Macaca fascicularis: one gene and its partner. The protein of the gene in region 1 purifies or fractionates together with the protein of each later gene. This does not show direct contact. Links are inferred from orthologs where the notes say so. Each region holds a gene or a part of one and is shown on either strand. Other genes may lie near its edges. The genes, in order: CPVL and CAPZB.

The links.
Region 2: the proteins of CPVL (region 1) and CAPZB purify together in Homo sapiens (affinity purification with mass spectrometry; 3 studies listed by BioGRID and IntAct, with this or other methods). This does not show direct contact. The link is inferred for Macaca fascicularis from reciprocal best matches to the Homo sapiens genes CPVL and CAPZB.

Annotation. Positions count from the first base shown.
Region 1 is NC_088377.1:101,073,749-101,088,841, reverse strand, and holds the start of CPVL (probable serine carboxypeptidase CPVL), read right to left. Parts: upstream 9,769-15,093; 5' UTR 9,577-9,768; intron 9,487-9,576; exon of another isoform or gene 9,296-9,486; intron 9,211-9,295; exon of another isoform or gene 8,995-9,210; intron 4,273-8,994; exon of another isoform or gene 4,086-4,272; intron 3,763-4,085; exon of another isoform or gene 3,667-3,762; intron 1-3,666. UniProt on the Homo sapiens protein: May be involved in the digestion of phagocytosed particles in the lysosome, participation in an inflammatory protease cascade, and trimming of peptides for antigen presentation.
Region 2 is NC_088375.1:215,595,451-215,610,444, forward strand, and holds the start of CAPZB (F-actin-capping protein subunit beta), read left to right. Parts: upstream 1-5,000; 5' UTR 5,001-5,099; coding exon of another isoform or gene 5,100-5,102; intron 5,103-14,994. UniProt on the Homo sapiens protein: F-actin-capping proteins bind in a Ca(2+)-independent manner to the fast growing ends of actin filaments (barbed end) thereby blocking the exchange of subunits at these ends.

The DNA of each region.
Region 1 (15,093 bases):
GAATCTGTGTTTTAGCAATACCAATATGTAGTTATATTAAAGGTTGTGCAGCCCTGTCCTATGTGTTGGTTCCCCTTGGAATTAAATTCAGCTTTTGGAGATAGGGAAACTCACCCATGTGAAAGTCGTTATTTTATTTAATTCCTTCAGTTCCCCAGAGGTGATTAAATTATAGCAGATGCTCACTGTATTGTTTCAGTAAGTTTAAGAAGTAAAGTTCTCACTATGGAACTCTGAGCAACCGGAAGTTGAACAGGATGGGGTTTTTGATTAGGGAATAATTTTGATCCCTTCCCTGCATTCGGGCAAATGACTTCTTCGTCTCCCTATACTATGCCTGTCCCTGCCAGGGCCCTTGGGGTCAGGAGTACAAGTCCTGTGAGCTCCCTGGAACCTGGCCTACCCCAAAGTTTATGTTTTAGGCAAAGAAAAATGACAGTATCATCCTAGGTTCAAATTGAAAGACGTAAGTAGGCCATGCCCGGCCGCTCATGCCTGTACCAGCACTTTGGGAGGCCAAGGTGGGTAGATTACTTGGGCCCAGGAGTCTGAGACAAGCCTGGACAACATTGCAAAACCCTGTCTCCACTAAAAATTTTAAAAAACAGCCACGTGCCTGTAGTCCCAGCTGCTTGGGAGGCTGAGGTGGGAGGATTGATTAAGCCCAGGAGGTTGAGGCTGCAGCAGTGAGCTGTGATTGCGTCACTGTATTCCAGCCTGCGTGACAGAGAGGGAAGGGAAGGGAAGGCAAGGGAAGGGAGGAAGGGAGAGAGGGAGAGAGGAAGAGAGGGAGAGAGGGAGAGAGGGAAGGAGAGAGAGAGAAGGAAGGAAGGAAGGAAAGAAGGGAGGGAAGGAGAGAGAAGGAAGGAAAAATAAAAATAAAAACATGAGTATTCAAGCAAAGAACATGGATTTTAAAGACTTCTCACCTGACTAAAGTCTCAAACAGGAAAATACTTACCATAACAGCAGGCTGAAATTTCAAATAAAAACAAAAGGGTAAGGTTTTTTTTTTTCATTGTATATTGGAATGAATCAGCCAAAGGTGTGTTCAAATTAATGCCTGTAACCTTGATAAATTACTTACCCTCTCTAATTTTTTGTTTTCTTAACCAAAAAGAACAGGGATGATAATATCTATAGCTAGAGTTGTTCAGCATTTTAATTAAGATATTATATAAGTTTTCTAGCCTCAGTTTCCCCAAATGGAAAATGAGGATAACAATTCTCACTTCACAATTGTTATGGGTATATGATAACGTTTACAAAGTGCTCAGCATGATCCTGGCGCACAGTAAATGATTATTTAAGGAGAGTGGCTTTTCTATGTCACTAATGGCAGAAAACATCGTGAGAGTGGTCATAATAGTTGCGGCAGTAGCAGTGGTCATGAAATGTTGGTTTCTACTCCTTCATCTTATAGGGGCCAAATTTGGCAGAGAGCTTAAATAATCTGTCTATACTTTTATTGAAATCTACTTTGAAATTCCACCAGGTTTCTCACCCAATGGGACGGGATAGGGATATGTCCAGATGTAAGACATTATCATCTAGTGGGGTATGTGTGTGTGTATGTGTATGTGTGTGTGTGTGACAGAGAGAACTTGAGAGAGAAAGAGAGAACTTGAGTATGCTCTTTTATATTATACATGCCACTTCCTAAAGATTCTGATGTATGGCCAGGCACGGTGGCTCACACCTGTAATCCCCGCACTTTGGGAGGCCGAGGTGGGCGGATCACCTGAGGTCAGGAGTTCCAGACCAGCCTGGCCAACATGGAGAAACCCTGTCTCTACTAAAAATACAAAAATTAGCCAGGTGTGGTGGTGTAATCCCACCTGTAATCCCAGCTACTTGGGAGGCTGAGGCAGGAGAATCACTTGAACCTGGGAGGCAGGAGCTGAGATTGCACCATTGTACTCCTGCCTGGGCAACAAGAGCAAGACTCCCTCTCAAAAAATAAAAATACAAAATAAAAAAAGATCCTGATGTGTTGTCAACATCCACTTTCTCCCCAGGAATCAACACAGTTAAAAACTACCTGCTGTGCAGAATATAATTGAGTGCTAATAACATTACTGTTGGGCATACATTCATTTACATAAATATGAAGTATATTATTGTCTCCATTTTACCTGATGAGGAGACTGAGAATATGAAAGATTATTTGTCCAAAGTCACCAAACTGTCTGTAGCTAAATTAGGATTTGAACTCAGATTTATCTTCAAAGCCCAGGCCTGGCTCATATGACTTAATATACTTGCATAGAGGTGATGTAACATGGAGGTGATAGGGAGAGATGAAAATTACTTTTGCATCAGACCATAATTCTCACAGATTACTCCAGAGAAGCAGATGTGAGCACGCTATACTTTGCTCTAAGGAACAAAGGCCACCTAGAATTCCTAACTGGACTTCTATGCTTTAGACACTGGATTACATCTATCACTTCATTCGATCATCACCAAGTCTGTAAATAGGGGTTATTAACCCATTTCAGAGATCAAGAATGAAAGATTAAATAATTTGCTCAGGGTCACACAGCTAATAAATGACGAGCTAGGATTGAAGCCCAGGTCTTTTTGACTCCATACGTACATATTAAACTTTGCTGGAATCATTTTTACTTGCTCTGTTTTACAGACAATCTGGAATATTTGTAAAAGACCAAAATACGTTTTCTGTATCAGAAGATTGGCTCAGATATTGTGTCTGTTAGCTTTCCTTCAATGCCCATTTACTCTCCCTTTTTTTTTTTTAAGAGGATTTCTGTTTTGTTATTGAACGTATAGCTGCTACAGGGAAAGAAATGAAAATATTGATTCAGATTTTCTTGGGGAGTGAAGGCAGAGGACATTCAGAGTACAGTATCTGCTCTGTTCCCTGGGCTGACAAGCTAAAACTGTGGATGAGAAAAAAGGAACTGTCTAGAAATAGGCTTTGAGGCTTGATTTTGGACGTTTTGTTAAAAGCAACAACAACAAAACTGCTGAAAAGAAAGTCGTCACCAGCATGGACAATACCTATAATTCCCAAACAGAAATAATTTCTATAGCTATTTTAAAACTTTGTCCCAGCTGAAATGTAAATGTCACAGGAAGGAGTCGAGGTTGTTTTGTAGGATCCCTCACAGCAAGGGTATAGTTTTCCCTCATGTCTTTTTTTTTTTTTTTTTTTGAGATAGAGTCTTGCTCTGTCACCAGGCTGGAGTGCAGTGGCGCAATCTCAGCTCATTGCAACCTCCGCCTCCCAGGTTCAAGCGATTCTCAGCCTCCCCAGTAGCTGAGATTACAGGCGCACACCATCATGCCTGGCTAATTTTTATATTTTTAGTAGAGATGGGGTTTCATCATGTTGGCCAGGCTGGTCTTGAACTCCTGACCTCAAATGATCTGCCCACCTCAGCCTCCCAAAGTGCTGGGATTACAGGCATGAGCCACCGCGCCCAGCCAGTTTCCCTCATATCTTTATTCCCCAGCCTCCTATACTCCCTGGCACATAATGAGTGCTTAGTCAACATGACTGAGTGAATTAATGAATGCTTGAATAAACGGACAGGTAGCCGAGAATAAATATATACCGTTATGAAAGCAAATTTTCATAGAAAAAGAGTATAAGGCCTAGGAACCCCCCACCCCCCCAGAAGACAAGAAAAACAAACTCACTCCGTGCTTTTGCCCAGAGCAGGCTTACAGCTGGCTTCGCTTCAGTTTATCCTAGATTTCTCTTAGGACATTGAGGACAGAAAAGATGTTTGTAATCTAAAATGTCAGGGAACAAAGCCAGAGAGTGCAACATGCAGAAGAAAACATATTCAATTAGTTTCTGAATGCTATCCTGTTTTTCTCTTCAAACAGAAAGAAAAACTCTCTCTTTCTTCTCTCTCTCTCTCTCTCTGCCCTTCCCCCCCACACTCCCCTTCTCCCTCTCTGTCTTTCCAGTCAAAGAGACTGTAGCTGATGGCATGCCTTAAGTGTCTGCATGTGCCGATCTGATCCGCCCAAGCTAAGTGGCCAAATAGGATACTCCAGGCAATACCCCTGAGCCCCGCTGCAGCTCCGTGAGAAAGACGATGCAGGAATACCTGTGCCTGCGTCGTGTGCCGCCACTAGGGGTCCCCAGCAGCAGGCGATGTGAACTGGGAATTGGGTAGCAGAGGCGGCCTCCCTTTGTCTGCACTCCAGGTGTGGACTCCTCTTTGTTCAGAGGCAGGGCCGCTACCTGCGGCGTCTGAGCTGCCTGCTCACTAAGCCATCCTGGGCCGTCTGTGCACCTCCTAAGGAAACAGCGGGTTTCTCAGCTCCTGCCCCTAGTGACGCCTGCCTCAGAAGAGCCAATGCGTTCTCTTTCTCAGGACTAGGTGTCTTTGTATTTGAAATAAGGCTTAAACTACAGAGCGAAATATTTCTCACTACAGCAAAAGAGCATATTGATGTTGAGAAATTGATGGCAAAAGGACCACTTTCAGGGTATGGTTGAGTATTTGCCATAAAATATTTAAAGCTAGTTGACGAATAGCCCCGCTATTCTCCTGTGAATGCCGACCACTAGATTAATCTTGAAAGTAAGGAATACGGTATTTCATTCCGTGTTTAGCACAGGGAAAGGGAATGACCTTCACTAAGCAACACCCCAGAGTGCCTGCAGTGAGGGAGCACAGCCACACTCACCCTGCAGTGCTTTCTTGTCTGCTTTTAAACTTCAAAAGAATGGTGAAACAAAATAAACAAATTACACCACAGTAAGAGCTACCCTGCAAACAATAAATCATGTGAGTTGTAACAGCCGGTGATGGAGGGTGGGGTGGGGATTGCAAATATTTACTCCATCAAAATTTTATTCTTATGTTTCACCGTTTCAGTCTTTTTTGTTCACAGCAAAGGTAGTATCCTTAAATGACCATCAAGTTCTTTTTTTGCTGCCAATGTGTTACTCAATGTCTTGTAGCTCAGTAGTCACAGCTACTAATGTGGAAAGTACTGGCATACAAGAGAACCATTTACAGATGTCCTTAATTTGCTCATTTATTCAAGAGTAAACTATTGAACAACATCCACTGAGCACCTATTGTATGCAAAGTATGGTAGACAATACAGGGGCTGGGCAAACAAGGATCCTGCTCCCACCATGCTTTTTTTTTTTTTTTTTTTTTTTTTTTTGAGACAGGGCCTCACTCTGTCTCCCAGGCTGGGGTGCAGTGGCGTCATCATAGCTCACTGCATCCTTGCACTCCTGGACTCAAGTAATTCTCCCCGCTCAGCCTCCCAAGTAGCTAGGACTACAGGTTTACTACAACGCCTGGCTAATTTATTTTTTATGTTTTTAGAGATGAGGTCTCATGTTGCTCAGGATGGTCTCAAACTCCTGGCCTCAAGGGAAGGGATCCTCCCACCTCAACTTACTGAGTCACTGGGATTATAGGCATGAGCCACCATGCCAAGTCCACTATTAATGGACTAAGGAAATGAAATATATACCAAAAGTACCATTAAAATGAGAGCACGAGATCTGCACATTGAGAGGTACAGTAGATGGGCTAGAGAAATCTAACAGAAGAAGAGCTATTTTCTGCCTTGGGAATCAGGGAAGACTTTCCAGAGAAGGTGCATTCTAGTTGAACTCTTTTAGTATGGGAAGCATACTAAAAGGATGGGAAGCAGGAAGGAATGGCAGAATCCAGTGCTGCTAGCCCCAAGGGCATAGGCCACTGTGAAAGAGGGTTGCATTTGTGAAAGGGGGGAACAGAGATTAGATTGGAATGGTAAGTTTGGAAGGCTTTGAATGCCAGATGAAAGCTAAGTTAAAACAAAACGATAATTTCTATTCTTAAGAAGGCCACATTATCCACAAGACTCCTTTTATCCCATAAGTCTTTTAATATTTGGAGACAAAAGGTGGAAATGTCTTTAAAAATTCTACTTTCCAAACACCTAAGATTTCTCCTTTCCACTGACAAATAGGTATTACCTAGAATTAAGGCAATACATAAATGAATAAAATAGATGATAACTTTTTCATTGTTTCATTTGGAGAAATACTTTAGAAGGTCCACAAACAGGTGCCTGAGCCTACCAAAGAGGGACATTAGCATTTTATTTCCAGCATGTCCTGATAACTTACTGATACTAGACATTTTTGCAAGGAGCAGCCAGCCTTTAGGCTCCCGAATCTAAGAAGGATGATAGTGAATTATTATTCATATTGAGTTTTCTCCATTGGTTATGGCTTTATCAATCCAGATGATCAATCAACTTTCAGATTTTAGTTCTGAACCTGGAGCTTTCTGTTTGGTGTTCAAAATAATGGATGTCAAAGTAATAGCTCATCTCCTACCGACAGACTGGACCTCCCCGATCAGCACATCTCTGTTCAGCAAGCATGTTTGTTGGCCTTGTATCCCTCCTCTGGCCCCAGGATCCAGGAAAACATGAGTCTCAGCTTTTTTCTACTTCTGTACAGCACAGGGTGGCCTTCAGGTGGTGCCTTCACAGCAAATACTCCCCTGTCCCTTCGTCTGTCAATTTAGGACAATAAAAATAATCTGCCTCACAGAGTCATGCTTTACTTTCTCCAGTTAAAACTCTATGAAGGCAAATATGAGTATCCAAACTGCAGAAACAGAATCTGTTGTCCTTTTGTGAAATTTCGAGATGAATAATGAAACCTGCTACCCTATTGCACAATTTGGGACAAGAAATATAAGCTATAGGTTGAAGATAAGACATTTCCCCCTAGTAGAACAGGTCACAGTTGATTAGTTATCTCCAGATGCAATGAAGAAAGCAAAAATTGTTCAAACTATACATTCCTTCCTTAAAGTGAGCAACTTACAATCACTTTGGAACACAAACGTCATGCCAGGTACACTGCAGCTTTCCACATAGCGTCTTATTTAATCTTCACAGCATCCTGTGTTATCAGATTTTTGAGGAAGGTGAAGAAACTGAGGCTCAGTAGGTCTAAGTAATTTGCTCAAGGTTGCAGCTAAGTAACAGAGCCAGAGTTTGAACCCAGTTGTCTTCGAAGCCCAGATGGTAAAAATTCGACCAGGCAACATAGCCAAGTCAGATAGTCCACCATCTAAAGACCTGGAGGGATACATAAATTACTAGTCAAACAAGTAAGTGCTGTTTTCTACTAGAAGAACTCTGGGGAAACAGTAAGTTCCTTCTGATCTAATCCACAAGCCAAGTGTGTGATGGGTCACGTGTCCCTGAAGCCTCCAGATTAGGAAATGCATGATTTCATGCAGTCCACAAAATAAAGAAGGATAGTGGTAGGGGGCTGGGAAAGCGGGGGTGCTTGGGTCTCCTTAGACCAGCCAGGGCTGTTTCAAGGTCCATACAGTTGAGGGTCAGGAAGACACAGTCCGACATGACTGAAGAGTGCTGACACGCCTTTAACAGTTTAGCAAGCTGTATTTTTAAAAAATGGACCTTAATGGGAAGACACACTGGGATAGCATCCTGGAGGGACTTTTTTTTTTTAAGTTCTAATCAACTAGAAAATGTGACGTGGGTGCGTACTGTGATTATTTAACATTCATTATTCACTGTATGTTAGGTGCTTGGTTGATGTGAATCCCCAGGGCCTAGCTGCTGTTCTGTGTCACTCCTGATAATTTTTAAATTGACTATGTTCTTTTAACCATGTTTTAAAAAGTTGAACTACCCCAATGTGAACACTTTCCATTTTTGCTATATAATGAGAGTATTTTCATTCCTTTAATGCTTGCTTTTCCCTTTGATCTAACAATTTCTCTTCAAATTTCACAGTTTTCTGTTGCTTTAGGATTGAAAGAACAGATTAGCCCGCTGGGAGCGTGAAACAGATTTAAAAAAAATCTGCATGATATTTCCTCCCAGTGAAATTAATTTAGGTTTAAATACAGGGGGAAGGGGCACACCTTGTCCTCGAGTCTCTTTCTGTCACACACCTGAGCATTTCCTATCCTGAAAGGGCACAGTCGGACTTGCTGCTAAGTCAAGTCTTTTGTGAGAATCTTTTTTGCAAGGCACAGTAGGAGAACCTTTTTCTCTTTGACACCCGGCTTTGTGTGGGCCTGATGACACGTTTGGACGGCTCTATTTCTTTGAAGGCCAACCTCAGAGGCCCATGGACGCGTCGGGCGCTGTCCGTGGCTGGGTTACTTAAGTGTAGCTGGGTTGGCTTCCCGGGTGTTTTAGGAAACGCACCTTCTTGCAGGGCAGGGGCCGTCAGTTCCAGAGCAACAAAGGATAATTTGGAGGGGAGTGGAAGGAGCGCTCCACAGTGGCTCTGTCATCCCAGGTTCCCTTCTGCCTAGCACCGTGGCCCTAGTGATCCCGCCTTCGCCCTCTGGATCCCCCACCCCCACTGTCTCGCTGCTCCAGAGCCCAGCGGGGCGCGGCGAGCCCCACCACCTTCCCCCACACCCTCCCTCCCCATCCCCTTCAAACCCTACGAGCAGCGCTGCGCGCCGCAGCCGCGCTCGCCCCGCGCCCCGCGCCGGCCTCCCCAGCACCCCGGGGACCCGGTCCCCGGTCTCGCCTCCCCGTGTCCAGCAGTTCACAGCCTCCCCCTCCAGCCCCACTGGCGGGAGCTGTCAAGCCCGCGGTAGCCGAACCAGCCCCCGTGCGCCCGCGTCTCCTCTCCTTCCTTTGTGTGTGCGCGAGCGGAGTTGGGGCGGAGGGAGAGGGGGAGGTCGCTCTGTCTGTCCGTCTACCGCCGCCTCTGCCCGGGCTACTCGAAGTGCGGCCGGAGAGGCGGGAGCCCAGGAGAGGGTGCGGGAGCTGGCGGGGCGGCTCGGGGCCGCCGGGACGCCCTGGTCCTAGTCGCGCACAGGGTAGCGCGGCCGGCAGAGGGGCTCGGCGGGAGCCGAGATCCGCCCGTCCCGGCCGCCCCTCGGCCTCCCTCTGCTCCCACCTACCCCCTGACACCCGGAGAAAAGCGTGCAAACGCGCGGAGCGGGACGGAAACCACAAATAAATAGCGGCGGCGGCAGCGCGTCATCTGGTGGAGCAGGAAGTGCAGGCAGAGTCCGGAGGCTGGTGCTTTCTGCGCGTCCCCAGGACTTTGCCATGGGCTGGGGGCCGCGGAGGCTGCGAGCGGCCGGGCGAGGGCAGCGGCTGCGGCGCCCGCACCGGGGCTGAGCGAGCAGCGACGCGAGGGGCGCGCGGAGATGGCAGCGTCCAGCAACTCCAGCCTGTCCGGCTCTTCGGTGTCCTCCGGTGAGTTTCAGCCCGTCGGGCGCGGCTGCCGCGCCGGGTCTCGCCCCCTGCCCTCGCTCCGCACCCTGGGATGGACAGAGCCTACCTGTGGCCGTCCCGCCCGCTCTCTTGGAGTGGGGGCAGGCGTCTGGGGTGACACTTGTTTGGTTCGCTAGCACCTCGGTGCCCAGAGCACCTCCGCGCCTGACATCTGACAGCGCAGAGGTGGGAGAGCGGTGGTGCCCTTAGTGTGCGGACGCGGGTGTTCTCGGGCTTGGGGTGCAGCGGGCGAAAAGCGAAAGGAGCGGGCAGGCTCGCACTTTCTGGCGCAGCTGGAGCGGGGGCTGGCGGGGCGGAGAAGGTTGGGGTCAAGCTGAGCGCCCGGACCTGTTTGCCGTGCCTCGTCCGCTACCCTGGACACCCAAATCCGGAGCAGAGGGGAGCAAACCCTCGTTCCTCGCAGACTTGATTTTCTTTGTTTGTTTCAGAAATTAGCTCTGTGGAGACACTCGCTTGGGCATGGGTTTGAGACAGCAGCGATGAAGGGATGTGTCTTTCTGATCCTGATTGAAGTGGGTTAGGGGAAGGGAGGTCGAGCCCAGCCTCTGACTCTTGGCATATTTACAAGTTGTGTGTGTGTGTGTGTGTGTGTGTGTGTGTGTGTGTGTGAGAGAGAGAGAGAGAGACAGAGAGAGAGAGAGAGAGAGAGAGAGAGAGACTCCTTAGACATTTTCTAATAATACTGTCTGTAATTTCACCAGCAAGGCATACATTTTTTTATTCCTTTTAAGTAAGGTTGAGCAAAGGGAAGGCTTCTTTCAGCTTTTCTATGGTTGATCCTCGGGTCTAATTGAAGAGAAAAAAATTGCTAATGAATCTGAAGGAGTAGGAATCAATAGAAGCAGACCCACTGGTTTCTGAGTATGACAGGTTTCTAATCAGAATGATGCATTAGATAGAATTCCTCTACCTCTCTGGTCATTGAAAACTTTAATGACAAACCCAAAAGGACAGCTGATAAGACATTTAGTGTAGTATACGGTATTTAAGGGTCAAGAAGGTCATGAAGTCCTAATGGAAGTGTTCAATATATTAATATTGTATTAAGTCCCATTGGGCTGTTTTTATTATTATTCACAAATTAAACTCAAAGGAATAAACACCTTTTTGGAGGCATTGGAGAGCAAGCAGGGCATAAAGGCAACCACAGCTTTCGATGTGTAACTCACTAAATCATAAATGCAAGGTGAATTTGACTAAGGTGCAATTGTGATGTGGTACAAGGTGATCACTTGAAAGCCATCTGTTATCTTTCTTGGCAGGTTTAGTTCCTGGGAAATGGCACTTCCTTTCTCGATCACTGCCAACTAATCGAAAACATGTCGTTGTTAGGTGTGTGACATAGTTCAAGTTTCTAGTAGTAGCAGCCAATGAGGCAGAAGTCATATCTTATTAAGAGCAGCAACAAGTTGACCGCCGTGGTTTTAATTCTGAGAACTCAGCAAATGCTACAGTTTATTTTTAGTACCCTCAAACCACTGCTGCTGTTTTTCAATTCATTTTGGTTGACTAACATTGAATTGAAAATACAGTGGTGTTGGCTTTCTATTAGCATATGGTTATTCCTCTCAGAAAACTGCCCACTAGAAAATGAACTGGTGGGGCAAAAGAAAAGACGAAAGGAGAAAGGACAAGGAGGTGGTGGTGTCACATGATTTACTGGTGGCATGAATTACAGCTGCTGTGGCATCTGAATTTCCAGATCTTGATGTAGCTTAAGAAGCCTGATTGAAAATCCTAACAGCCTTCGGAAGAATACATTGGTTTGAAACAACACAGTATGAGATTTAGATGATGTTAATTGCTTTCAGATAGGATAGAGATGCCCATGATGGTTCTTTTTCCTGCTTTATTTACCCGTATTTTTAATCCTAAGGGAAACTGGGAAATTATGTAAAAACTGAAATTCAAAAAGTGGGCATGGATGTATTGTTTGGCATGAATCAACCTAGCCCATGAGTTTATACTGCCTAATTCCCCAATTAATCAGGCACTTTGTCTTGAAAAATACAGCATTGTAGTTCTCTTTTTAAGCACACTTACCATTGTGTGGATCATGAATAATTCAGATGACACAAGCAATTCACACCTGTGAGAGGTGTTGGGCAGAAAGAATAGAGCCTATTTGTGGTGGCAGCTGGGCTCTCTCAGGCGAAGGCCAGAACCTGAGAAATTAGGGCACTCCATCAGTCTATTAATCACTATTTTCAAGGGCCTACTATGTGCCAGGCAGTAAGTTACAAACCTCAGCTTCAAGAAGGCTAAGGGGGAAAGATAATTATAGGCTTCCTTCTGGCTCTGAAGTTCTGGGAGTATTGTCTTTTAATTCTGGCTTCATCACCAACCAGCCAGGTATCTTGAAGTGCGTTACTTAACTTCTCCAAGCCTCAATTTCCTCATTTGTAAATGAGGCTGATACTGATGATAAGACCTACTTCATAGAGTGTCTTGGGGATTGAATGACATAATGTATGTAGAGTATTTAGCACAGGGCCCAGCATTTAATAAATGCTTAATGTGAATAAATTTTACTTCTTCGAGGAATGAAAAAGAAGGCATTCATGGGCTCAGAATTTAGGTGCAGACATGAATCCAACACACATACAATCCACTTCTTTCATCATATGTTAAATTTGATCTTGAATTTTGGGCTTCATTAAATAAACATGCGAGTGTCTTTCAGGTTTCAGGCATAGTCCCGAGTGTTTGGCATGGAAGGATGAGTCAAGATCCTTTTCCCTTATGATCCAGCAGCCGAGACAAACATGCAAATAGCAACCTCTACTCCAGTTTGATAAAACAAATTCTGTGGAGGAGGGTGCAGAGGAGAGGGATTGACTTAGTCAAATTAGAGGGGTCAGTGGGAATGTCATACGAGTTGGGCCTTGAAAGCTGAGTCGAATTTTTCCAGAAGACAGATGGAGAAAAAGACGTTTCAGGAAGAGAGAAGAACTTAGGCAAAGGCCTGGAGATGGGTAAGTTCATGGCCTTATTTTGACTTTCTTTCTTGGGGCCGTTGATCCTTTTGCACTTAGGAAAGTTATGCTTACAGGCCCATAAGCAGCATCGTGCACAGAGCTGCCAGCTCACTCATTGCTGCTGCTGATGTAGGAGGTTTTCTTTCTGTTCAGGTAGCAGTGGGTTTGATGGAACAGCTCTGGAAGCCGTAGGACATTTGGGCAATTGAGCACTGAAAAAGGAACAGTTGATTCTGTAGTGTCCAGCATAGACAGAGGTGAAGTCAACATGGGTTATACCTCTCATAGAGGAATAGCAGCGGGAGATTTAAGTATGTTTGTGTTTGCAGAGTTAAGATCTAATAATTTGCTCAGCATTAGGTCAAAGTTACCTGATTTTCCTGAGAATTTGCTCTCACTAGCTGCTGTTGAGCTACGTCACCCAAATGTGTCATTTATTTTACGGTACCAACTGAGACATAACAAATGAAATAATCAGATTACAATTAATTTTAAAATACATTTTCTGAGAACTCTTCACGAATTTTCTTCTGGAATATTCAATTATGTGTAAAAGAAATTGCTTTACCTTTGTTTTAATGATAACCACTGGTAATTAAATTTCACAATCACCTGGATTGGCAGGAAGCTTTGATTACCTTTATTATTTTAAATTGCAAAAAAGAAAAGTTCTTATCCTTAAGCTTCTAATTTAGCCTGTGGTACTTTATTATATTCTGAAATAAACAACAGCCAATTTGCAAAACAGTCTTCTTAATAATCATGGGTTATGTTTGCTTTTATAATTGAAATAAGAACTTTTTGCATATTAGCAATATGATTGCCAAATGGATAATTTCAGAGTCAAGAAAAAAATCAACCCAAGCAAGTCAATAAATAAAGAAGATATGAGATGTTCTCAGTAACTGAAAAAGGTAAAACATTAAATATTAAAGGAACCCCAAGGATAAGAAGTTAAGATCTGGAAACATAAACACACTGTATTATCAAAATAAAATTGACACAGACTTTTAAAATTAAAATGCAAACAGAAAAAGGTAAAAAGTCAGTATTAGGTGCAGTCCTCAAAACCTTAATTGGGAAAAGAACATTCCTGAATGGATTGAGGTATTCATTTCTTTAGATTCTATACAACAGTAATGTGGGCCAGGTAAATCATGCTGTTTTCTGCTGTCACACTGTTGTTGATGTAGAAACAATAAATAGGAATTTTCATTACTCATTATTGGGGATTCATAACCAGTAACATAGGTAAGTCTTCCGTATTCCTAGATGCAGACGGCAAAACTGAACTATAGTAATTCTGGCAAGACTTATGTATGTCTAACTAGAAATTCTCTGCATCCAATACTACAAAACAGGGTATTTTATTGAAACAGACATTCTCACTGAGAAGTTTTCTTTTGGACTTTTGGATTTTTCAGAAATTTTCTTCTGGAATATTCAATTATGTGTAAAAAATTGCTTTGCATTGTTTTAATGATAACTGCTCAATAATTAAATTTCACATCGCCTAGATTGGCAGAAAGACTTGATTGCCTTTTTTATTTTAAATCACACATGCACAAATTCCGATTTAAAATATGATCTCAAATAAAACACTTGCAAAGCTAAAATTAACTCTGTGAGAGAAATTATTCACTCAGATGAGGAGTACTAGTCCTTGTTGTTTTTCTCCTGAGCATTCCACACCTCATTTTAACTTACTAGATTTTATTCTCCACTGTAGCAACTCAGATGAACCGAGTGATAGAGTCTGAGAGGTAAGGAGATTTTTCTTAGCATGCTACATATTTGCAGTGTTTGACAAGGGGGACCCAACGATTTGTGAACTTGTGCTGAAACGCTGGTTCTCCCCACTAATGCCATGAAGTGCACTGGGTGACCCTGTCATTTGCCTAACTTTTGGGGGAATGTGAACACCAGGTATTTTCCATGGCCAGTCTGTGCAGGGTTTAGCTGGACAGTATGTTCTGAGAGCTGCCACTTGGGGCCTGGCCTGAGTGTCAGCCCTGCTGAGGGCCATCTGCTGCTGGGCAGGGTCTCCCATTTTTGCACAATGGTGAAAATAAGTGGACATTTGGTTTGGAACACCTATACATGAGCGGTGTCACATAGAAATGCTTTGGAAGAGTTTTCTGCCAGAAGATCAAGATTCCGGTCAAGGCAAATGCAGACAAAAAGACATGAACCTAGTGATAGACAGACATATGATTAATAGCATCCCCTATCACCCACCGATCATTTATCTTTTATGAATGTATGTATTCTCATTTCATGGCTTCTGAAATATGTCATTTAATTTTCAAAACAAAATGGCTTTTTCCCCCTCCCTCCCTCTCTACTTTCTTTCCTTTCTTTCTCCATTCTTCCCCTCCCCTCTCCCTCTTTTCTTCCCTCCCTACCTTCCCTCCCCGCTCCCTCTACCCACCTTCTTCCCCTTCCTTCCTTCCTTCCTTCCTTCCTTCCTTCCTTCCTTCCCCTCCTTCCTCCCTTCCTTCCCCTCCTTCCTCCCTCCCTCCCTCCCCCTCCCTCCTCCCCTTTCCTTCCTTCCTTCCTTCCTTCCTTCCTTCCTTCCTTCCTTCCTTCCTTCCTTCCTTCCTTCCTTCCTTCCTTCCTTCCTTCCTTCCTTATTTTGTCTCTTTTTCTTCTCTCATCTGTTGTTGGTCAGATTTCTATTTAGAGATGTTTTCATCAATCCCACATTTGATTTTCTTTACTGTTCATAGTTTGCAAATCCTCTAGGCACCTTCCTGCTTTTCCTTCCCTTTGGCCCATGGGGAAGGAAGCTGGTATTCTGTCTCTCACATGGATTCAGGTTAGGGGGTCAAGATGGATACCTGTGTCTCTGGTGCAGGCTAGTTGG
Region 2 (14,994 bases), on another chromosome or scaffold:
GCTGAAGGAATCTTCCTGCCTCAGCCTCCTGTGTAGCTGGGACCAGGGGCACGTGCCACCATGCCTATTTGATTTTTTTTATAGAGACAGGGGTCTCACTTTGTCACCTGCACTGGTCTTGAACTCCTAGGTTTAAGCAATACTCTCACTTAGGCTTCCAAAGTGCTGGGATTACAGGAATGCCTGGCCAAAAATGCCTGGTTACCATCCCTGGCCCAAAAAATTTAAAATAAAAAAAATTTACAGTGCCTGTCTACCAATTCACAACCCCTTGTAGATGACCATGTTTAACGCCACGTGCCTCCATGCTCATAGCAATAGCTGACGGATCTAGGGGCAGGATCTGAGCAATGGGCAGCCAATCTGTGGAGTGATCTGTCCAATGAATGAACTTTCCTTCATGCTTGGCCTCCATCCCTTGGCATCCAAGAGGGACACCACCTTTTCTTGGTCCTGTTCCTGCCACACGGGTCATTCCTTCTCAGTCTTCCTGCTGGTTCCTCTTTATCTTCATGACCTCTTCTCTCTACATTCACCCATGAAGTGAGTTCATCAAGATGTCTATGCTTTCAAATATCTTTAAATGCCATTTACTAGCCAGCAGTTCTCGTAAGTTTATCACAGCTCTGACTTCTTCCCCCAAATCCAGACTTCCATATCTAATTACTTACTTGACATCTCCATTTATTTATTTTTATTTTTATTTTTTGAGATGGAGTATCATTCTGTCACCCAGCCTGGAGTGCAGTGGCGCAATCTCTGCTCACTGCATCCTCCACCTCTGGGTTCAAGCAATTCTCCTGCCTCAGCCTCCTCAGTAGCTGGGATTACAGGCATGTGCCACCAAGCCCAGCTAATTTTGGTATTTTTAGTAGAGACAGGGTTTCACCATGTTGACCAGGCTGGTTTCAAACTCCCGACCTCAAGCGATCTACCCGCCTCCCCAAAGTGCTAGAATTATAGGTGTGAGCCACCACGCCCACCTGACATCTCCATTTAAATCTCCAGTAGGAGGCTGGGCGCAGTGGCTCATGTCTCTAATCCCAGAACTTTGGGAGGCCAAGGCGGGGTCAGGAGTTCGAGACCAGCCTGGCCAACATGGTAAAACCCTGTCTCTGTTAAAAGTTCAAAAATCGGCTGGGTGTGGTGGCGCACGCCTGTAGTCCCAGCTACTTGGGAGGCTGAGGTGGGAGAATTGCTTGAATCCAGGAGATGGAGGCTGCAGTGAGCCAAGACTGTACCACTGCACTCCAGCCTGGGCGACAGAGTGAGACTCCATCCCCAAAAAAAAAAAAACACACACACACAAAACTCCAATAGGCATCTCAAACATAACTTGCTCCCTCTTATCCACAACCCTCCCCTCAGAAAAACCCTGCTCCTCCTACGGTCTTCCCGAGATCAATAAATGGCAAATCCATGCAGTGTTAAGCCAAAAATCTTAGCATCAGGCAAAACTATGGAGTAAAAAGATCAGTGGTTGCCAGGAGCTAGGGGGCAGGGGGATGAAGAGGTGGAACACAGGGGATTTTTAGGGCAGTGAAAATATTCCATATGATGGTTCTAATGGTGGCTAGATGTAATTATCCGCTTGTCCAAACTCATAGAGTGTATAACAGAGTGAACCCTAATGTAAACTATTGGGTGATCATGATGTATGAATGCAGTTAATTAATTGCAACAGATGTACCACTCTAGTGGGGAATGGGGACAATTCGGGGGGGCTCTGCATATGTAGGGCAGGGATATGTGGATTATCTCTATATCTTCCTCTCAATTTTGTTGTGAACCTAAAACTGCTCTAAAAAACAAAGTCTTGGCTGGGTGCAGTTGCTCATGCCTGTAATCCCAGCACTTTAGGAGGCTGAGGTGGGAGAACTGCTTAAGCCCTGGAGTTCGAGACTAGCCTGGGTAACAGTGCAACTCAGTCTCTACAAAAAAATCAGCCGGGCAGGGTGATGCATGCCTGTAGTCCCAGCTACTCAGGGGGCTGAGGTGGGAGGATCACCTGAGCCTGGGGGTCTTGAGGCTGCAGTGAGCTATGATTGCACCACTGCACTCCAGTCTGGGCAACAGAACTGAGACACTGTCTCAAAACAAACAAACAAAAAGACAAAGTCTTTTTATAAGAAGAAAAAAAATCTTAACATCATCCTTGATTCCTTTCTTCTCATGCCTACCACCAATACATCAGGAAATATCTAGAATACTATCTACTTCTTGCCATCTCCAATGCTACTACCCTGGTCCAAGCCAGCTTCATCTCTCTGCTGTGTGACCTTGGGGCAAGGTCCTTACCTTTTCAGGCTTCTGTCATGATTAAATGACTTATTATCTGTAAGGTGCTTAACAGTGTTCATCACATAGGATGCGCCATATCAGTGCTTTTTATATAAATAAATATCCTCAATATAGAAATGTCTTTCTAAGGCCCTAGTCCCCCTACAGTCCATTCAGGACACAGCAGCCTCATGATCCTTTTAAAGCCTAGGTCAGATCTTGCCATGGCTCTGCCCTTCAGCTCCTGCTGGACTTAGGCTAGCCACACTGGCCTCCTGTCTGTCCCTTGAAAACACACCAGTGCTGATCCAGCACAGTCCCACCTTCAGGGTTTTTACCCTTGCTGCTCCTCGTGCCTCTGCTGTCCACATGGCTTGCTCCCTCCTTCCCTTCAGCTATATGATCAAATACTGCTAAGTTAGGCCTTGCCTGCTTACCTATTTGCTTGCTTGAATTTTTCTCATTATCTCTAATCACTACCCGACACTGTGTTACTATTATTATTTTATTTTTGAGACAGAGTCTCACTCTGTCTCCCAGGCTGGAGTGCAGTGGCGCGATCTCGGCTCACTGCAAGCTCCACCTCCCCGGTTCAAGCCATTCTCCTGCCTCAGCCTCCCCAGTAGCTGGGACTACAGGCGCCCACCACCACCCCCATCTAAATTTTTGTATTTTTAGTAGAGACAGGGTTTCACCCTGTTAGCCAGGATGGTCTCGATCTCCCGACCTCGTGATCCGCCCACATTGGCCTCCCAAAGTACTGGGATTATAGGCGTGAGCCACTGTGCCTGGCCTCGGACACTGTATTTGCCTGGTGGCCGACTGTCTCCCTGACAACACTCAAGCTCGGGTTGTTTTGCTCATTGCTGTATTTCCAGAGCCTAGCACAGTGCTTGGCACATAGCAGATGCTCAATAAATACTTACTACTTGTGCCATTCTCTTCTGTGAATTCCTGTAATACTCATCCAATACCGTTCTTGCGAGACTTACCCGTATGCTTTTTCTGCCAGTGGCTACCTGTGAAAGGTTTTACTTGTCTATGAGCTCCCTGAGGACAGGGCCTGGCTCAGGGAAACATTCCTGTCATCCGTACTGTTTACCATCCCCTCACAGATCGCCTAATTTGATTTAACCAAAGCAAACAGGCCACGGAGGGCAGATATTATTAGCAATCCAGGTTTCCTGCCACCTAGACTAAGCTCAACAAATATTTGATTGAGAGAGAGAGAGAGAGGAGAGAGAGAGAGAGAGAGAGATTGGGAGAGAGAAACTTGAGTCATCTTGTGGAGAGAGGAAGCCCGTCTGGGCAAATGGAATGGTTCTCTGCAGCACATCCAACAGTACTCATAACAGTTAGCATTTGTTGAACTTAATTTTCTTTTTCTTTTCTGTTTTTTTTTTTTTTTTTTTTGAGACCGAGTCTCGCTCTGTCACCCAGGCTAGAGTGCAGTGGCCGGATCTCAGCTCACTGCAAGCTCTGCCTCCCGGGTTTAGCCATTCTCCTGCCTCAGCCTCCCGAGTAGCTGGGACTACAGGCGCCCGCCACTTCGCCCGGCTAGTTTTTTGTATTTTTTAGTAGAGACGGGGTTTCACCGTGTTAGCCAGGATGGTCTCGATCTCCTGACCTCGTGATCCGCCGGTCTCGGCCTCCCAAAGTGCTGTTTTTTTGATACAGAGTCTTGCTCTGTCGCCAGGCTGGGGTGCCGTGGCGCGATTTCGACTCACTGCAACCTCTGTCCCCCGGGTTCAAGCGATTCTCCTGCCTCAGCCTCCCGGGTAGCTGGGGCTACAGGTCGGCACCACCAGGCCCAGCTAATTTTTGTATTTGTAGTAGAAACGGGGTTTTACCACGTTGGCCAGGATGGTCTCCATCTCTTGGCCTTGGCCCACCTCGGCCTCCCAAAGTGCCTCGCCTCCATAGCAGGCGTGAGTCACCGCGCCGGGCCTGTTGAACTTAATTTTCTAATCTCTACCTGTGTCATCCTCACAGCTATTCTGTCTGCAGCTATACGTGCAGGGATCTTTATGTCTTATTATTCATCTGTTATCTTCCGGTGCCTAAACAAGGCCTGGTACATAGTAGGTGCTGAATAAATGGTGTCAGCCCGAGGCTCCTGAATTCCTGCCCGGGCTCAGGTGCAGCGCGGCGCTCCAGGTCCCGCCGTAGCGAGCGGCAGCGCTGGGCTCCGGCCCAGCTCCCGGCGCGCTCGCCCCGTACTGGGATGGGCTGGGCTGGGCTGGGCCCGGCCGGGCCGGGCCGCGCTCCGCTCGGCGGCAGTTCCGGGTGCGCCGCAGGAGTGAGCGCGTGCACGGGGTGGGGCGCAGACGGCAGGTCGCCTCACAGCCCCGGTGCCTTCCGCATCCCCGCCCGCGGGGACTGTGGGGCGCGGTTCCCTCGCCGACACCCGCTGCTGCAGGCCCAGAGTCGGGTACTGGACCTCCAACAGCGCGGACACCCCTCCGGCCCGAGCCCCGTACCCCGGGCCCGGAACCCCCGGCAGGCGAGCCGCGCCGCTCCCCGCCCCGCCGCGCAGACCCCGCCCCCGCACCCCGTCGGCGCCCGCCTCCCGCGCCGCTCTCCATACTTGGCGATCGCCGCAGTCCCGCGCGCTCATTGGCCGCGAGCTGGCGGCGTGGGGGGCGGGCCCGGGCCGGGCCGGGGCGGGGAAGGAAGGTGGCGGCGGCCCGGCGCGGGGGGAGGGGGGCGCTGACCCGGATGTTCACTCCTGGGCACCCGGGGAAGTGGAAGCGCCGGGCCCTGCTGCGGGGGGGAGAGCCACTGACGCCGGGACCGGGACCGCCGCCGCCGCCGCCACCATGGTAAAGGCCGCACGGCCCCCTCCCCGGCCCGGGGGCCCCTCCGGAACTCGCGTCCCCCTCCCCCGGCCCATCCGTGGCCCGGGACTGGTGGCTTCCCGGGGTGGGGGAGGGGCGGGGTCCCGGACCCTGGGTGGACCCGGTCCCTCCCCGCCCAGGAGGGTGCCGCCGGCGCGGACGACTTGGGTGGCAGTGACCCTGCCCCCGCTCCCAGCCCTCGCCCTTGGCACAAGCTGGAGTCCCACTCACCACCTCTGTGTCCAGGCTGGTCTCTCCCATAGCCCAGGCTAGACCCTCCCTCCCGAACCGTGGCCCCAGCCAGGCACCCCCCCCCCCGCGGTGACCCTGGCGTGGGCCCCCTTCCTCCCCCGGTCTAGGGCTAGGTCTGCTTTCCCCCGTCTCTCCCGCCCAGGCTAGGCCGTCGTTTCTCCCTGCCATGGCCCAGGCTAGGCCGCTGCCTCCCTCCCTCCCTTGCCTTCTCCATGGCCTCAGGCTGGACCCCGGTCAGCCCTTCCTGCAGCGGTCTAGGTTTGCTTCCCCTCTTCTCCGTGGCCTCAGCCTGAATCTCCTCATCCCTCTGTGATCTTAAATCTGGACCTCCTCTCCTCCGCCCATGGCCCCGCCTGGACCTCACTGCCCCCTCCCCACCGTGATCCCCTTCCCTGGACTTCTCGCCACTCCTAGCGTAACCTGCGTCAGCCCCGCTCGGTCTCCGCCCTGACCCTCTCATCAGGGTTCTGCCCCCTGCCCCGTGCACGACCCAGGGTACCCTTCCCTCTACCTGGGGCGCGCCTTCTTTGCAGCCTTCGGGAAGCGAGGGGAACTCTCCAGCAGGGATGGGGTGGTCCCGGTGCTGTGCCTTCTCAGTTGCCCCTTCTAGGGAGGCCGCTTGGGAGCCAGCGAGGGAAAGGCGGGCATCGGTGTGCCCAGAAGGCAGCGCGCTGCGCTGCGGGCCCTTCTCGAGGTCGCCGCCGTGGGTGCTGTGCTTGCGAAGCGTCCTGCAGGGCGGGCCGGGGTCCGCGGCGCCCAGGCCTGAGTGGGAGCTGAGGGCTGAGGGTGGGTGGCCCACAGGACAAGGATGAACGCACAATCGCCCTTGTGAGGCCATGGCCTTGGGGGGCCAGCAGGCCCAGGATCCAGCATATGGCCTGGACACCATGCACCCGAGCAGGCGCAGCCTCCCCTTCCCTCTGAACTGTCAGCTTGTAAGGGTGGGAACTGCTGATTATGGAAGTCCCTTGGATCAGGTGAGCAGAACTCCGAGGGAGAGTGCTGGCTCCACTCGTAGTGTTTGATTTGGTAAAGAAAGCAGATGCTATCCAGACTTTTGAGGAACCTGGGGCTTCACATAGGCCCCCACAGATAGACCTGCACTCCTACCTCTTGATCATTCCGCAGGACAGGCCCAGCACTTAGGTTGGAAGGGCCAGAGAACTTCCTGACAGGGTCAAGGGATTTTTGGAGCATATTTGTATGTGGGCTTTGGGCCTCAAAGTGTTTTGAGGACCCTGGTTCCTTGTTTAGTCAAGGGATGTTGCTGCTGAACGAGGGTGAGGAGTTGAGATGAGTTAAGCTTTCTTTTGATACCTTCCTGTATGCTGATTAAAAACAGGGGCAATGCCACTTTTAAGGCCTTCGGATTTCTCCAGTGACGTTGGCTGAAAACTCCTTGTTTGGGGAGGCCTTGTTTTGACCCCAGGTCTGGGTGGAGCACGACTTCTCCAGGGCAGTGTTGGGTGAGGACTTTGAAAGTGGGCTGAAGTTTCGTTACTGAGTGTGCACTGAAGACAAAGTATGCGGCAGGAAGCGGTGATGCTCCCCAGGTGATGGGAAAGTGCCCCAGTCCCCCAGGAGGAGCACATGACACCTGAAGCTTCTCAGGAGTCTTGCACTCAGCTGTCATCTGAAAAGACTGGAAAGGGTGGAGGAACTGTCTGTCTGCCAGTCACTGTGGTGTGCTTCACCTGTACAAGCTGGTTTCATCCACACGAAGCCCTTCTGGGGCTGTCCGCATTTGATAGATGAGGCAGCTGAGGCTCAGGAGGTGCAGTGACTTATTCAAGGTATTGCCCAGCCAGTGGAGGAACCACCGTTGGTCAGTAGAAGCCCATCTGGCAGCCTCTAAACTGTTATTCCCATTGTACCAAGCTGCTTATATGTCAGGAGGTTTAATGACACCGTTTGAAAAACATAGAATGGGATATTCAAACATGGCAAGGGGGGAGGAGCAGTATTTATTGCCCATGGTTTGTATTTTAAATCCTTTGTATAGAAAATCATGTTATAGCGAAAGAGCTGTATGGTGGTACAGGCATATTTAGCATGGGCCAGAATGAGCTCTTGGAGGGCAGAGATTTTTGTCTTGTGTATTCCACAGCTGTATCCGTGGGGCCTAGAACAGCACCTGGCATTGGAAGAAACCACTTGGAATGTTCTCTTTGGGATGTGTCTGTGTCCATGAACTTACCTGCTTGGATTTCATATTCATTCTCTCAGTCACTTGTTCTTCGTATCCCTTAGGCTTGTAATTTCTGACTGCTTATTGTTAGGTTTATCCCCTATTTGAATACTCTGACCATTAAGCCAGTGTAGATGGTTGGGGTAGGACAGAAGTGGTGGTGTGAGGTTGCATTGAAGGGAAATGAAATCAGATCACCGTGTTTTTCATTTTCAGTAGATTCGATGGTAAAGAATACAGCTAGATCTCTGTTACCCATTGAGGGAAATAGTGGCTTGAGAATCTAAAAAGCATTTGACTTTGGAGTGAATGCCATGATTTTTGTTGGCATGAGTTTCTCCTTCTCAGTTAAAATGCATAGGCAGATGGAATTTATTTGCATTCCCTTAGCAGGTAATAATCTTACCACTGCTTGAGTGCTGTACAATTTCAGAGCACCGTTCCTTTCGCAGCTCCAGCTTCTGACTTGGGAATTATTCTTAGTTATGATGATGGTGAGGCTTTTAGCAGGAAGGTGGACTAGGGAGGCCCCTTCAGGAATCGCTGCTCCAGCTCACAGATGGTTTTGCCTGGCAGGAGCTGATGGGAACTTGGTATTGTTACAAGGTGAAACAACATAGTTGACATTAATGTCTCTTGGTGTGGATAAGATACATTGTTCAACTCACATCCCTCTTGTCTGTCTATACAGCCCTGTTCATTTGAGCCCACCTGGCCTCTTTTTGGTGGCATGCTTATAAAAAGTAGCCAGCGATCAATGGCTTGAGATTAAGGAAATGATAAGCCATGCCTTTGAAAGCAGATACTCCTATTTATAACTCAGACGTCCTATACTTTTACATTCCATTCCATGAGTCGAGGAACAGGACATATGACTGACCACAGGGAAATGGTGGCAGGGCAGGTGCCTCACCCATTAGAAGCCTGCCCTCAAGGCTGGGAAAGGCTTATTGTTAGGCAAATACTGAGGCACGTTGTGGGGTACCTGAAGCTACAGGGTCATGTTAATTCAGCTTTTTGTGTATCAAGTGCCTGCTCTGTGCTGTTTATGTGTGGAGGATGCAAGACAGACAAGGATCTCTGCCTTCACGGCTCACATTGTTGAGGGGTGAGCATGTCACTGTTACCTAAAGTTTAAGGGGGAAAGAGCCTTGTTCGTGTAACAGCAGGCACATCTGCTTGAGCTATGGCAGGAAACTGAAGAGAAAGTTGGGGCTGGTGCCAGGCTCCACTCCAAGGCCTTTTGGGGTGTGCCTGCTCTTGTGTCTGCCATTGGCTGGAATTGCATTGCACATGCACGCAGTCCGCTCGCTCCTTTGCACAGCCAAGGCTTTCTGGGGTCCCAAAATGAAACCTTACAGTACCGTGGAAGTCCAGCCTCTCCAGTCTGGGTCGCTTTGTCCAGCACGTCCAACCTGGGTCGCTGAGGGACCTGACCCAGAAACATGACTTAGGTTATAGCCCAGCCCCCATTTTACTCACAAGAGTGAGAGCTTGAGTGACCGGTGTGAGCAGCAGGCCTGGGATTCGGATCCACGTCAGCCTGACTCACTGTGTTGGACCCCACTCACTGTGTTTTCCAGAAGCAGTGAGCAGAGGGTCCCATAAATACAGGATCTTGTCCCATTTCCCCTTGTAGCAGATCCACCAGTGAGGGTGCAGTGTGGAATTCCAGGGGGTGCAACTGCAAGATCACCCACAATGGGACCAGCTAGAGCCATGCCATTTCCAGACCTAGGCTTTCAGAGATTCACGTCTCAGTGGAAGGAAGGGGAGGCTTAATGGTTATGGAGCATCAGCCATGTGCTATGCACTCTGTTAGAACTGTCCTCACCACAGCCTGACAATGTAGGTTCAACTTTAGGCTGGAGGCAGCATAGTGCAAGAAAATAGAGTGAGGAGCCAGACTGCCTTAGGATAACGGTACCTCTGCATAAGGTTGTAATGAGGGTTAAGTAGTATCTGTCAAGTGCATCCAGTAGCATCTGGCACATGATGTTGTTATAAACATTAACTATCGTTATTATCGCCATTTTCCAAAAGTGTGCAAAGGGGTTTATGGTGAGTCCCTGTCTAGCTACTACGTGGAGGAATTGGGTTTTCTGACCCCAGAGCAAACCATTTTTCTCCACTCCGGACTGCCTGCTGGTGGCTGCTTTGGAGTTTGCCTGGCTCTGGGCTGTGCCTTGAATGGACAACTTCCCTAATAGAGCCTGGGGCTGTTTTCTCCACTGAAGACAAGCTGGCTGTGAGCGGGGCACCATGTGTTGCCAGAGCCCCATGCTACACGTCAGGCCCGAATGCCTTGTCTGTGCCAGTGGAACCCCCTGTGACTGGAGGGTGCTTGCCCTATTCCAGGCTTGGAAGAAGAGAGACAGGGCTGGGGACAGAGCGTATGAGCTCTGTGAGAGCAGGGACCTTGTCTGTTTGCTTCCCTCTGAGTACCCCACACCTTGCGCTGGCCACCTGGCACTTAGTGAACACCAGCTACGTAAACGCTGAGTGAGAGCTGAGAGGCGGCTCCCTGCTCCACAGAACATGGTGTCTGCAGTTGGGCACATCTGGAGTTGAGTCCTGTCTGCCACTCAGCATGTGACTGCCAGTGAGGCTGCTAATTCCCTCGGTGTCTGTTTTCCTGGTCCGTAGCATGAAGATAACGTTTTATAGGGATGGGGGGTAGGGGTGAAATTTGTAATGTACTTACTCCAGTGCTTGGCACACAGTAGCTATGGTTGTTGCTTGTCTTATTCTGCATACCACAGAGTAAGGGACACAAATAGAAGCCATCGTCCCTGTCCTCTAATCCAGGATGGGGAGGCAGGATGTGTCCAAAAAGCCAAGTGCAGCAGGAAGGAAGTAGTACTAGAAAAGACTTAATCAGGGACCCATGGGTGCTGTGGTCTGCCCATCCCTGCAGGCCTGGCTTGCATTTCCCCCTCCTCCATGCAGCCCTGCAGACCACTCCAGCCCACGGTCGGCTTGGGGGCTGGGTAAGGAAGCCTGGGAAGAGCGTGCTCAGGCAGAGAGAATGGGGTGGGGTATGGTCAAGGGGACTGGCACAAAAACTGAGGTCGGGGGTGTGGTCAGACAAGGAGTAGATGTGAGCCCATGGGGTGCCTCAGTCTCAGGAGTGAGTTGTAGAGTGCCTGAGTTGCTAAGCTAAGGAGTTTGCATTTGATCTGGGACAGTGTGGAGCCAGTGAAATTTTTGACAGGGCAGGTAGAAATTCGAGGAGGCTGGCAGGGCAGTGGTATTTTAGGAAGAGTCCTCTGGCTGTGCGTGCAGCAGGCCTGGGGGGTGAGAGAGACGGGAGAGAGGCCTTCACAAGCATCAGCCTGTGAGCTTATGAGGGTCGTGGCCACTGTGCCGCTGTGGGCGTGGAAAGGAAGGGATGGTGGAAGGAGATAAAGGCAGAGGGAGACGGAATGATTTACCACCTCTGGGGCTGAGGGGGTCTGCCCCAGAGCTGTCTCATGTAGGCGTTCTGATTGGACAGTTTATCATTGATACACAGCTATTTCAGGTCAGTTTAAATCCTAGATAGTGGTGTCTGCAAAGCCTTGAGATCCTATTAACAACTGAATGGGGATTTCGGTCTGGTTAGCCCAGTGATCCATCCAGCCAGCGACTCCGTGACTGCAGGTGGCACCAAGTTCAGCCTGATGCACACAGCGTTAGGTTCTGGTGCCTAAGACATCAGTCTGCTGAGGGAGATGGGGGGGTGGTGGGCTGTGTGTGGCAGCTGTAGGAATAACAGGAGCTAGTTTTTGTTTGTTTGTTTGTTTGTTTGAGACAGAGTCTCACTCTGTTGCCCAGGCTGGAGTACAGTGGCATGATCTCGGTTCACTGCAACCTCCATCTCCCAGACTCAAGGAATTCTCCTGCCTCAGCCTCCCAAGTAGCTGGAACTATAGGTGCGCGCCACTGTGCCCGGCTACTTTTTGTATTTTTAGTAGAGATGGGGTTTCACTGTGTTGGCCAGGCTGGTCTCGAACGCCTGGCCTCATGATCTGCCTGCCTCGGCCTCCCAAAGTGCTGGGGATTACAGGCATGAACCACTGTACCTGGCCAGGAGCTAGTTTTGACTGATGACTTTTTAATATTCCAGCCAGCCCTATGAGGCATATTCTCATGTCATCCTCATTATGCAGGTGAGGAAACCAAGGCCCACCTGGCAGTCCTGGCACTGGGCTCTGCTGCCTGCAGGGATTTTTTCCATCAGGTCATTCATTCCGTGGATGCCTGCTGAGCAGTTAGGTAGACCTGATAGAATATGACATCCGAGTCTTAAGGTTAAATGGAGGAAGCGGGTGGAAGCAAGTATGTCCAAAGTTCTGAAAGACTCAGGAGTGAGTGCAGAACCAGCGTGGGGAGGCCCACAGCATCAGACAGGCAGGGAGGCCGCTTGCCTGCGTTTTCCCGTGCTTCCTCCTGCGGTCACCCCACATGTTTCTGACATCTCTGAACGCCTGTGAACAGGAGGCTTTGCCTACAACTTTCTAGTGTTAGGTTTCCAGTCATGTAGTCCTGTGTCATGTAAGGCAGCAACCCTGGTGATTGCCATTCACCTGGCGTGGAGCGATGATTGTGAGGACTGAGCGAGTTCCTGTGTGGAAAGTGTAGGCAATGCTTGGCACATTGTGGGTGCAGTACGAGTGTTATCTCCTGTTATCGTGGTTATTCTGTTAACATGGATGGATGATAGGTGGTGTTTCATTGAACTTCCCAGCCAGCCTGGAAGGCAGGTGCTGGTTCCTTCTTCTGAGACTCCAAGATGTAGAGTCCCTTGCCCCAGGAGAGCAGTCTTAGGGGGTTCAGTCTGTTTAAACACCAAACTGCTGAAAACAGCAGCCCAGTGTTTCTGGTCTCAAGAGCTCTCACCACATTGCAGGTTGTGAGCAGTTGTTACCACCGGCTCAGACCCTGCACTTTTCCACCCTCTGCTTCAACTGCTCTGTGCAGCTTCCTCTTCTAGTGCTGAACGCAGCAGGATACTCCTGAGTTAGACTCGGTATCTTATTTAGCAGTGTTTGGGCGTGCTGTTTCAGAGCCCTCTATAAGTGGATTCAGGCATCGTATTTACCAGGTATATACGATAGATATACCTGGTAAAATAGAAAGGTAAGCCAGGTGCTGTGGTGTGTGTCAATGGTCCCAGCTACTCAGGAGGCTGAGGGGGGAGGATCGCTCGGGCGATCGCTTGGGAGTTTGAGGCCAGCCTGGGCAACATAGTAAGACCCCCGTCTTTCTTTCAAAGAAAAGTTATGAAATGATGCTTTTGCATTGCACCCTATATGCTGTAGCTTCCAATTATAATTCAGCCAGTGGCATTTTCCGGTGGTACCCGTGCCCTTTTCCCTTCTCAGTTGCAGCAGTGATTGGCAGGTAGAGTGTTGCTACTGAAGGCTTCTCCGTCATGAGGCTTTGGTCCTGGTGGGCTGTCGTTGGTTTCACACGAGTGGGCTCCCTGCGTTGCAGTTTTGCACTCAGAAACTGGAAGGAGGAGCCTTAATCCACCACATCCTTCTGGTGTGAAAAGTCTAAGACCCTGAAGAACTCAGACTCCAAAAGAGCAGCGGCCAGGCTTGGCTGTTCAGTTCCTCTGCTGAGAATTTCCGACGTGAGCTGTTGTCGTGTTCTCAGTGTATACCCTCCAGACACCTCCTATCCTGAAATCTCTTCTGGGCACGGGGTGCCGTGGATTCCTGGTTGTCCTGAGATTCGAGACCTTGTTCAGGCAGAGAGGATGGGCTAGGGTGTGGTTAAGCGGAGTCCATTCTTGGTCTTGGGGAGCGCACTCATGGCGCAGGCATTAGGGGATGCCATGAAATGAAGGATGCCTTCAGTCTGTAGGCTGGTATTGAGTGTTCACTCACAGAGTGGCCCCTCCCTTCTGCCAGTATCTACCGGATGCCCACAGTCATTATCTGTATTCTCTCAACACCAACCCTGTGAGATCTGTTTCCTCATTTTGCAGATAAGGAAACCGGAGCCCAGAGAGGTGTAGTAACTTGCTGAAGGCCCCCCAGCTAGTTAATGGGAGTTGCCACGGAGGTCCAGGTCCACCCCACTCGGGAACACGTGCTGATGGAATTCCGCTCTTCTGCCTCTCTGGCACCGGCCTATGGGGATACTTATTTTATAGATGAGGAATCCGGGGCCGAGAGGTTCCCCTGTACGACGTCTAGCCCCAGTGGCTGAAGAAGTCTGGGTTTTGTTTAGGAGGTTTTTTCGGTTCCACTTATTGAAATGCAAGGAGATGGAACTTCGTGAACCGCAGTCTGTTTTCCAAAAGATAGCCACTCAGCTGAAAGGGTGAGATAGTCTTAGCCTAGCGTCGACCACTGTGCGGCTTGGCCTCCTGGGCAGGACAGTTCTTTGTGCAGTAGTGTCAGTGTCCCTGGCTCCTCCTGCCTGTGACGTGAGTGGCAGCAGCACATCTTAATCATTGTGACAGCCCTCCATGGGGACTGTTGGGTGACAAAGCCTTGCAGGGATCCTTTGGCTTTTTCCCGTAAAGCCCCATCCCAGCCCTGGACACCATGTACAGTGTAAGATGCAGGGATTCTGAGGGGAAAGACAAAATTGGCCTGTTTGATTGATTGAGACAAGGTCTCACTCTGTCGCCCAGGCTGAAGTGCAGTGGTTCCATCTTGTCTCACTGTAGCCTCGACCTCCTCGGCTCAAGCAGTGCTCCCCCTTCAGCCTCTCATGTAGCTGGGATCACAGGCATGTGCCACAGTGCCTGTCTGTCTGTCTATCTATCTATCTAGCTAGCTAGCTATCTACTTATTTTTTAGAGACAGAGTCTTTGTAGCCCAGGCTGGTCTCGAACTTGTGGGTTCAAGGGATCCTCCCTCCTTGACCTTCCACAATGCTGAGATTATGGGCATGAAGCCACCATGCCTGGCCAAAATTGACCTGTTTTAGTAGTTACCTGAGCTCAGGCAGGTTGAGTTGGTTACCCTTGTTCTGCCTGGTAAGTTTGTTTCTTATCCTTAGGAGGGAAGATGAAAAATCCTGGCTGTCAGTCTTGGGGGTGCTGAAACAGTGTTACACACCGGCCCGGACACAGCCAGTGCTCTACAGGTGTTAGATGAATGACTGAATGTCTAGTAGGTCCTTAATAAGTGTAAGTGTCCCTCCCTCCATTAGGTTGAACCGTATGAAGTTGCCGTTTTCCTAGGTGAAAAAAGGTTGAATTATCAGCCTTTCATGTGGTTCAACCTAATATAGACTAAACCCTGGGGCCGGGCAGTTCCACTGTGAACTAGACACGTCCAGATCTCTGGGCCTGAGCTCTTGGCCAAGCCTGGCCTTCTGCTAGGGCCTACCCAGTTTTCAGTGTCAGGCTCTCAGTCGAGAACAGAGGAGCCGAGCGGGGTCTGCCCCCGAGATGGGGCAGTGCTGTCTTGAGGGGTTCTGCTGCTCAGGACT